2 linked regions of the Neodiprion lecontei genome follow. The protein of the gene in region 1 purifies or fractionates together with the protein of each later gene. This does not show direct contact. Links are inferred from orthologs where the notes say so. Each region holds a gene or a part of one and is shown in the gene's direction. Other genes may lie near its edges.

Region 1 (5,233 bases):
GTAGTCCCAGTCCACTGTGTGTAAACATTCATATTTTTGAATTGCTTGAACATTTTCTTCAGCTTTCTGGTGCCATGCAGCAAATATACTTCTGGTATATATTTATTATTATTGTATACAAATGATGTATACAGATGAAGTCTTCAAATAAACTAATTGAATCATGTGATTTGCAAATTGTAATTAATACTGAAATATCGGGAAAATGAAACATGTAGTAGTGATTGTATGAATTAGTTACAATGATATTTCTTTGTTCAAAATTTTTATTAATAAGTGTTCCGATGTAACAAAGATATGTCAAAATGTTAGCTGAGATCAGGATTCAACGATTTGGCAGCAATCAATGTAATACGCATAATTATATCTTCCAAGAGCTTGAATTAAATAACGCCACGATTCTCTCAGCTCTTTGAAGTCTACTTAAGGAGTAGGATCTGATAAGGCTCTTTTTCGCGCATTACAACATGTAAAATATACTGACTGCCGTGGTGATACAGCACAAATCATAATGCTATAACCTATATTTAATGCATATAGCGCACATTAAAATTTCTTAGACTGAAGCCATGATTTTGGAATATCTTTGGCCAATTTACAAAATAGAGAAATACCAAATTCAAATCAGATGTGTAATATGTAAAGGAAATCGATCGACTGAGATTATAAACCATATAGAGAGATATAATGTACTAACAATTTGATATTATTTAAATTAAATATTTACCTGGATCTAATCTTGATATCCGAAACATCTGTATATTTACTTATTTAGTCGTTGTCTAGTCATGCCATTATTATTATTATTATGAAACCGTGTGTAGTATAATATAATAAATATCTAATTTAAGTACATAACAAGCATTTGAATACGTACATAGTTCTATATGCATAGAAATAAAAATCAATACAATGTTTTGAAATAATCATGTTACAGCTAATAAATAGTATATGAAGTGTTGAAATTTGAATTGTAATAATATTAATCATGATAGAATATTATAACAGTTCTATAATAATCGTTTGGCTATGCAACAGCAGAGTGCTGGAATTTTTCGTTCGATATTTCAATTCAGACAAGATTATAATAAAATAATCTTAATGTCAATCACTTGACAACAGTTACTATCAGTATATTTATACTTCATCTGACAAAATTTTTAACTGATTCGATCGCAATATAAAGGAAATCATTATGTATATGATTAATGAGTAGCCAAATCAGGGTCTCAATTATTTTATTTCAGTGATCTTTATTAAACTCGTGAGACAAATTATCAGTATATGGTTGATATAATGTATCCAATAAAGGCGCTCGTGAGCAATTGCACAGCCACCAGCCCAATGAATAATAGTATTGCAACATAATCCATCTTAATATTTGGATTTGCAGTTTCGAAATTTGGTTCGCTAGGATGAATTCTTAGGGTATTCGGCCGAAAAGTCCGTATGATGTTCTCTTCCATTCTAGTTTTTTACCTGTATATATATGATAATCATTATGGTATATTACTTTCACAGAACTGGGTGCATGAGTTGTCAAACGTCGTTTAAAATTCTCATTATAATGTTCACCAAATTCAATCTTGAGTAGCTTCTTTTACAATATAAACTATCGATTGACGCTCAGATACAGGCTTCAATATTTATATGTATATTTATTATTACGAGGTTATTTGAAGAAATTCCATAACACAAAAACATTTGCAGGTATCCCAGCAACAACTTTATGGGGTTGAATACATTTCTTTGACCAATGGTGCTGCATTTGGTTGTCAAGCGTTGACTGAAACTAAATTTTTACGAATTATCTTAGAATGGAAATTTCTCCGAGTTTCTTAGTTTTCCTAAGAACCCTCGACTGTATACAGTACAGAATTTTTCTCAGAAATGTTAGAAAACTATCTATCAAATTTATCAACAAAATTATGAGAAATATCTGAAAACTTTTCCCCAAAGGAAGAACGCGGATGAGGGGATTCGGACCTCGTACTAAATTTTGTGAACAATTTACCACCTTTGCGGATTGATTAACCAGTTACAAAAAAATTCGAATGACCAACGTTCAAATCCGGTGCGCACGCGTAGAGATATAATCTGTAATACGTATAACGGTTAGGCATTTATTCCAACAACTCGACCAATGAAAGCCCGTTAATTTAAACTTTCGAACGTTCTTCCCCCACTATAGGGCCTTCGTTCGTCGGGTGGCTGGGCTCTATACAGGATGCGAATGAACGAGCAGTCAGTATTGAGTCGGTATTCAGTACCCAAATGAACGGCAAGATCACGTTTAACTTCGGAAAATATATCGTCGCAACAAATTGCACGGGCCGGTACATTGGAAGACAAACTCGTATCTCGTTTGAAAAAGGATAATAAATAACCGATGAAGTTCTTTCCACAACTGTGAAGTTCGACAAGTTTATGATCAGAATCGAAGGAGATATTGACGTTTTGAATTTCATCGGTGATCCCACTTCAGTGAGCGTAGTAACGCGTAAAATGGCGGTTGCATTTGAATGCAACGGTTGTTGACAGTTTGAAGAGTTCGGTTGAAGGGCGCGGCGTGCGTTGATATTATTGCACTTATTTCCCGAGATAAATAAGTATATTCGCGTCGCTCTGAGCTCTTCGTAGGACGGAAAACGTCGGGTCACGATTTCAAGCGTGCGTGCTGAAATTTTCTAAATTTCTGCCCAAAATTAAACAATGGATCCCTTCACTCAGGTAAGCGACGCTATGCGGAATTATACCTGATCCGAGGCATTATTTGTCTGGAATTGAATAGGATTGTAAGATACAAACACGTGTTGACCGTTGTGATCCTAAAGAAAATTTATGAACCAGGTAGCCTGGTCCCAACAATTTCACGATTGAAAAACTCTTACTATCTTGACAGTTTAGAAAGACTTCGAAGAAGTTGGGTTTGCAAAATCTGAGTCTGCATAGTTTTGTCACGTCTTATTGAATTTCAGACCATACTAATTTTGTGAAATAACTATTTCACATGAATATGCATCGTTAGGATAACGTTATGAACTTTAAACTCATATGGACTGTTGCATTTCTCTGTGGTTTAATCTTATTCAGCAATACTAACACAAAGCGAAATTAGTCTTGATCGAATTGAGTTGAATCAAGTGTAAATATAAAGCAATTAACCCTTAACATAGATCGAGATTTTAGGTTATTGTTGCATTCTGCGGACACCAATTCGTCTAATTTTAATAAAGCTTACTTTGTCTAGACAGTAATCAAAGGCTCTCGAATTTGTTTGACACATTTTTCACACTTCTCGGTTAAAAACAAAGATATGGTGCTATTAAAATTGTTGTCCACGACTGGGCTTTTCTCGATTTTTTCTGCTCCTCTGTGTTCAGATAATATTGTTTTAGTTAAATTAAACCTTATCAACCTCAACTACTAGGTCTGAGACCCCTTTTCATTATTTTAGCTGCTCAAAACTTTCCTGGCCAGATTTTGTACTTGCTAATTAGGGAAAATAATCCCTTATGTTTCTTCTGCATGTATGAAAAGTCTAAATAGAAGTGAGAAAAGTACAGAATTATACCTCTTACTGTTTTATTATGCTAATCTACTACCATCATCGTGTGAATTATGATATCCGAGTTTTTTGGCTTACTTTAGCGAATGTTGGAGCGTGCGAAAGCAAGGAGGGAAAAATTAGACACGCAATTGTCAAATGCTGGTCATGATCCCAAAAAGAGGCGCAGTCCACTGAAGGATGCTAATGCCATTTTGGCACAGGCTCCAGGTACGTTAATTCATTTGTGTCTCTCATGTTCAATTTGCATTATTTGATGTTGTATTGTGCCTTTTAGTACTGGAACACAATGTGGCAGCTAAACCAGTGGTTAAAGATTCTCCCGTTAAGCAATCGCCGATTAAATCACCGAGAAAATTTTCTCCTACTAAAATTCCTATCACAACTCAAGAAGGCAAAGTATCCAACAAAGAGAATGGAGAGACTCAAATATCCGGTGTCAGATCCAAACTACAAAGGCTGGGCAAGCTATACTCTGGTAAGTTGTTGCTTGGTTGGTGCTGTCACACCTACACACATTGATATCATAAACTGGTTCCTGCATACAATATAGATATGGTACTACTATGGCAGATGCCATAGCATCTATCTGTAATAAGTACCGATCACAATATCTCATACCTTTTAATTATCACTATATTCCCAAGTGAGAGAATTATTGGAAAGTTCTCAGAATTTTTTAAATGAATTTTTCAGAAATATATCTAGTTTTTGGACTGTCCTAAGCAAAATTCTGTAGTACTTCTGGAATAGTTTGAATTATTCTATCAGTCTAAGGGATTTGAAGAAATTCCACAGAGTTTTTAAAGATCTGATAAACTTGAGATTTTTGTCTTCTAGACTGTCTCTGTCCAAGTGAAGTTAGAGGTGAAAATTGTACCAATTTCTATGAGAAACTCAAGTTTTTTTGAAACTCCATTTTGCATTACAAATCTGAAAAAATCGGATTTCTGGTGTTCCTGTATATTTTTTGAGCATACTTCGGTATGGAATTTCATAGGAAACAGTTGCATATGAATGTTTCTGAAATGCCATTGAAAAATCTGGATATATCTAAAACAATAATTTTAGTCAAACTAGAAGTGTGAAAATTTTTGACAGTAATTTTTAATAAATATCGAAGTTTTTCGATAAACCTGTTGAAATTAATTTTCTGCACAGAAATTGAGATACTTCGGAACAACTCCTAGGAATTTATGCGAATTTGTCTGAAATATTTTAAGCGAAATAGAAAATCTTTTAGAAATATGCATTCTGAGTAAATTTTTAGAAATTACTGAAAATTTCTGAAAATATCTTTTGCCTGCGAAACAAAAGTAATGATTTGTGACTTAAGTTTTATGACTTGAAGTGAACAGAAAAATCAGATCTAAGTCAATGAGATATCCTAATAACAATAATAAAATCTGACAACCATCAAAACTTGGATGTAAAAAATGTTTTCCTGTTCGAGAAATTTCAGGACAGAATATCGTAAACTTTCAATCTTTTTATTACCTATTCTTTTCAGTAGTTAAGATTCATTTGGAGTTTTGATTTATATTAGAAAATATTGAACAGTGTTTTAGTATAGCTTTGAGGATTGCAAATGTGATGTATCGAATTACTTGAACATATATTTCTTCAGAGGATTGCAGCCGTGAGTTGAGTTCGCCAATTCACAGA
Region 2 (5,290 bases), on another chromosome or scaffold:
CACATTAACGTGTTCAGTAAAACATGAATTGATTATTCATTGAGTATTAAATACATTGTACATTGTTTTTCTTCTTAAATGCATGCAATAAACATGATATTTGGTAACAATAAGATATAATTATTGAGTAATTAATGCATTATTAACACATCCTTTTTAAGAAACATTTCTATTATTCTCAAGCAGGCAGCGTCTTGGCTTTGAGCACGCACTTCGAATTTCCTATGTCAGTTAACGCTTGCCTGGAATGCCTACTATTATAGGGTAAAATTTGACAACGTTTCTCTAAATGGCCCGCCCCTGTTTTAGCGTTAGCTTATACTTGACTGGCCCCGTAGCTTACAAACCCAGAATAAACAAACTGCTGTAAACAAAACTCGCGCCTATGTATAAAGTACAGGTATATGATAGGTATGTATAGGTATGTATTAACATACATGTGACCTATCGTATTGAATTAGGTTGATAATTGTCAATACATACCTCATTTTTCGTTCTCGAAGTACAAACAAACCATCCATGCGGCGAAGATTGCACCGAAATGTGTGTATCAATAGTGTAAATAATGAGATCATCTACTGTCATTTTACAAATAATGGCTATGTGTATTTATGTATAACGATAAGAATCCTATTTGGGTTGTGGTCCGAAAATTCGATGAATTTCTAAAATGCGTTTTTCATGCCAATAGCTTGGGTAACGTTAGATAAAATAAAGCGCTGCAAAGTTAAACCCTCGACTATTAAAAAAAACCGGTATCGGATGTTTAATCAGGGGATCTTTTTTCCGACATTTCACGAATGGCCTGTATTGTAAAAACTCTCTGCGAGGGTTGTTAATCCTCGGTGGAGCAAATGCAGTGTCAACACGCCTGACGGTCCCCATTCTGTGCGTATACATATAATACACGTAAAAGGAGGTTATCTTGAAAGGAAAAGGTCGTCCACCATGAGGAGGGAAAAAAAAACTCAACCTTCGTTGCAGCAGATAAAGCAGTGGTGCAGTTATAAACGAAACATGGGTTGCTCGTCGGTAGGCGATATAAGTTTCCATTTGCGGTAATCTCCGTTTATTCACGAACAACGAGGCCACGAGTTTGAAAAGTAAAATGTCAATTTACCGACCGAGTGTCGGACACCTATTTTCTCCCCCGAGTCGTTCCCGAGTCAAGTGAAATCGTTTCTTAAACTTAGAGAAATCATTACAGAGTTTGCAATTGTGCTTGGTTATAAATAATGGTGATTGAAAACAAAGTAAATATCTACACGATACGGTTGATTATTCAGCAAATGTAGAAGAAAGAATTGTAAAACACGCTCGCCGAAGGAATGTAAGTTCTATGGGTAACACTGGAAGGTCCGACGCAGGGGCGTGACTAGACATTTAGAGACCCCGAGGTAAATCATGAAACATGTTCTTCTGGACCCTCCCCTCCCATGCTCAGTAATTTACTCCCAATAAAACAGTAGAATATTTGTTATATACATTCTATTTACTGTAAACTAAAACTACCATTTATCCAAAGAAGATGTCTCACATCTTTGACTATACAGTCGATATAACTATTAAATTTGTTACAATATTGAATTGAAATAAGTATTTGAAACGGAAAATATTAGAAGTACACTAACAAGTTGTTAGATTGGTTAAAATGATGCATTCCGGCATCTGATGGCAAACTAATGAACTATGACCAAACCTTGCGAAATGCATTTGAAAACAGTACGAAATGATAAAAGCAAAACATCACGATTACGAATCCGAATGAAATGTTACTTCATTTTTTACCCCCGTCTTGGGGGCCCCCGGGCATTGCCCCAGTCTAGTTACGCCCCTGCCCCAACGGTCCGACACCCCTTGAATGCTCCATTATCGCTCGCCCCACGCCTATGGCCCGTCGAAATTAGGGATGGCAGCACATGCGCTGAGGGTTGCAACGGCGTGCTGCGGCGACTCGTGGTGGGGGGTGCAGTGGCGTAGCGATAATTCCCTGCCCCCACCGCGTTTAGCAGCTGCGTCAGGCGTGGTCGTCGTGTTCGCGTCGCGAGTGAGTCGACGGCAATTCGGCATTCAGCGCGAGTGAGTCGCCGTTTGGTTCGCCGCTGACTGTCAGTTGGACCGACGCCGACAGAGGCAAACACGTTCGTTGTCGAGAAGTTTGTCGCGCATAGACACGCATTGTGCGAAAAAGTTTGGTCAAAGTTACCGGTTGACAGGAGGCAGCCTCCGTCTATTGTTTGTTTACGTTTTATTTTACAATCGTTACCATTTCGACAAACAACGATCGACTATCGGTTTCTCTGTATTATACACGCAAAACAATGCAACGAAAAGTGAGAGTGGTCTCGTCCTCGTCGTTTCTTCGCTTCGCTAGCACCGTTCGTAAGACGTGAATCACCTGGCGTGGCAAATTTTATCCACACAAACAACAGTGTCGAAGGTCCTGCCGCTGGCTAACGTTGATACTAAAGTCTGCTGGTGCCGCTTATTCTACGGCAAAAACGGGGCGGTTGAAAGACGATTTTTAAGCCATCGTGATAACATACCATATATGTGTGTATAGCAAAAGCCAATTACGGGGATGTATTTTGTCTGTTGTGACAAGTGAATGAGAAGATAATAAGTGCGGTAGTCTTATAAAAGGGTTTTTTGCTGTGTCGGCGTTCGAATACGAGACATATTCAACTAACGAACGGACATTACCGTTTTAGTCCTGGTCAACAACTCTTGCATGTTGTCGACGCCAATCGTTGAAAAGCCGCATCGTAGTGACAATTCGGTTATTCTATTCAACCCCAAACTTACGTTACGCGCCGCGGTGGGTAATTTGAGGTTAAGGAAGCGACGTCGGGTGATTAATAACTCGATAGGATTTGGAATATCTGTCGATTATACCAGTCGATAAGGGACAAACGGATAAAGCGAAAGCCGTGAGAGCAGTAACGGGTCGAAACCGTAAAAGTTCGGAGTAGAACGAACGGAGCGCGGTGAAGTGACCAAGAGACGAAGAAGAAGAAGAAGAAGAAGAAGAAGAAAAGATGTCGGTGGAGAACCAAAACGGCACCGCGACTGCCGTCCCATTGCAAACGAATGGGATAAAATCTTCGATAACTAGCATATCGACTACCTCGTCGTCGGTCGTCTCGGTTGGCGGCCGGACGATACCAAACAACTCGTCCTACCTTTACAGCACGAGCTCGGTACTGAATCGCGAAAAAACTCGTCAAGCACCGCCCACCTTGCCAAAGTACACGTCGAGCTTCAATGCCGGGACTAACGGCAATGCCGAAAGACTCGCCAGGGAACGAGAGTCCGGCGGCAGTTACCGACTCGCCAGTTTGGACAGACTGGCCCTCAGACAAAGGATATTGGAGGGCGAGGGGAAACCGAACGGCGACGCCGCATCGACGGTAAGGATTTTGATAATCGGATGCGGCCACGACACCGTCCTTGGACCCACGATTGAAATAACTTTGTCTTTCCTCGAGCGTTGTTTTCTTGTCCATTCTTTGGTACTCACAAATCGCTCCTCGACACGGCTTACTACGGAGGTGGTTATTTCACCCCCTTAAATTGTTTGATGACGGGTAAAAAAAAAATACGTAGTATACTGTAACGTATTAAAAAAGAAATCAAATCGGAGAGATTGACCTGGGATACCCTCCTTTGTTTTTCCTTTCATGACTGAAAAGAAGGACGAATTGGAATAATATTACGTATCGGTAGTACATGTACCGAGATCGAAGAAAACGAACTAACGAAACGATTTCAAACTTTGGCTTTTCAGCGCAGTTCTGGGAAAATTCTCGTACTATAAATATTTGTTCAATCGTAAATTAGGTTCCTCGAGTTAGGTTAGCTTCTACGTAAATATAAGTGTACTTGGAAAACACTATCACTGGGTAAGTCGACCGCATTTTCTTAGACCACAAAGTACCTGTATGGATAGGAAGATTTCGAATTGTAGTCATGCTGATACGAGAGGTTGAAATTCGATACTTTCGTACGACGAAGATCATACATTTTTTTCATGTTGAAGTTAGCAACGATTCGTGCTGAAGGAAAACCGTTATTTCGCGATTTTGAAACTCTTTGAAATTCAGTAAAACGTGATTAAACAAAACATACTCATATTTTGCAAACTTAGTTCCTTCAAAGTCATTGTAAAAATAAGAAAATAGTGATTTTTTTCCAATGTTTCGTTATGATGACGCTGCTAACTTCAACCTTGTAAATTTTTGGGAATCATTGTTATTTAGAAACTTCGGTATTGCCTGAAATACGTTACGCTGCGAGCAATGCGACAAAGCACAAAACATTACACCAAGTACTCGTATTACTGCAAACTCAACTAGTTCAGTGATTCTAACAACTTGCATATAGTGTTTTTTTCGCGACTTCGTACGTTATGAGGTTGAAGTTAGTAACGTTATCGTAACGAAAGATTGGGAAAAAACGTCACTATTTTCTTATTTTCATAATGATTTTGAAGAAACTAAGATTGAAAAATATGAGTATCTTTTGTTTTACATGTTACGGTTTACTGAATTTCAAACAGTTCTAAAATAATGGAACAACGGTTTTGTCATCAGCATGAATCGTTACGATAACGTTACTAACTTCAATGCGATGTCACGTTAACGCAACGATCCTCAACCTCAACCGTAACGCATACAATTCCTAAAATCTCCGAAAAAATGTCGCTTTAATCAGACTGAAGTTAGAAATCTCGGTCTAAAAAATCAACATAATTGGTCAATTTAAAAATGACTTTCAAGGAATTTGCTATTCAAAACTACAGTGTATTTAACGCACCAGTAGAATTGTCTGAAATTCAGTAAACCACGAACCGAAAATAACTACATTTTTCAAGAGCTAACTCTTTGAAAGTCGTTCTAAAATTTCAACACAATGAATTTCTTCCTGATGTTTCGTAACGTTAACGTTCCTTACTTCAACCTCTTACCAACTTCGTCCTCACGAGTAGGTATCAAGGAAATTCTCAATTCTCGAAACGACGCCGAGACACCTGGTGTATTACGTATACTACAGGTAGTACGATTCCCATGCATCATCATCATCATCATCACCATCACCATCGTGCATCGTATCCACACGACGAACGGAATGATTGCTTGTTTGCGTGCGGCGGCCGAAGAGCATACATGGTGAATCGTGCAGTGTATACATTGCCTGCCTGCCTGCCTGCCTGCCGCCACGGCGGTCTATGAGTCACCTAGGGCAACTGTGTATCTTTCTATCGTCCGTGACGCAGCGACCAAGAGGGAGG

The links.
Region 2: the proteins of anillin (region 1) and septin-7 purify together in Drosophila melanogaster (affinity purification with western blotting; 3 studies listed by BioGRID, with this or other methods). This does not show direct contact. The link is inferred for Neodiprion lecontei from reciprocal best matches to the Drosophila melanogaster genes scra and pnut.

Annotation. Positions count from the first base shown.
Region 1 is NC_060261.1:15,614,833-15,620,065, reverse strand, and holds the start of anillin, read left to right. Parts: upstream 1-2,222; 5' UTR 2,223-2,712; coding exon 2,713-2,730; intron 2,731-3,651; coding exon 3,652-3,778; intron 3,779-3,845; coding exon 3,846-4,046; intron 4,047-5,195; coding exon 5,196-5,233. UniProt on the Drosophila melanogaster protein: Required for cytokinesis. Essential for the structural integrity of the cleavage furrow and for completion of cleavage furrow ingression and proper formation of the midbody.
Region 2 is NC_060260.1:40,094,942-40,100,231, forward strand, and holds the start of septin-7, read left to right. Parts: upstream 1-2,044; 5' UTR 2,045-3,038; coding exon 3,039-3,410; intron 3,411-5,290. UniProt on the Drosophila melanogaster protein: Involved in cytokinesis and possibly cellularization. Also acts as an enhancer of the sina gene, thus having a role in photoreceptor development. May be involved in p53-dependent apoptosis.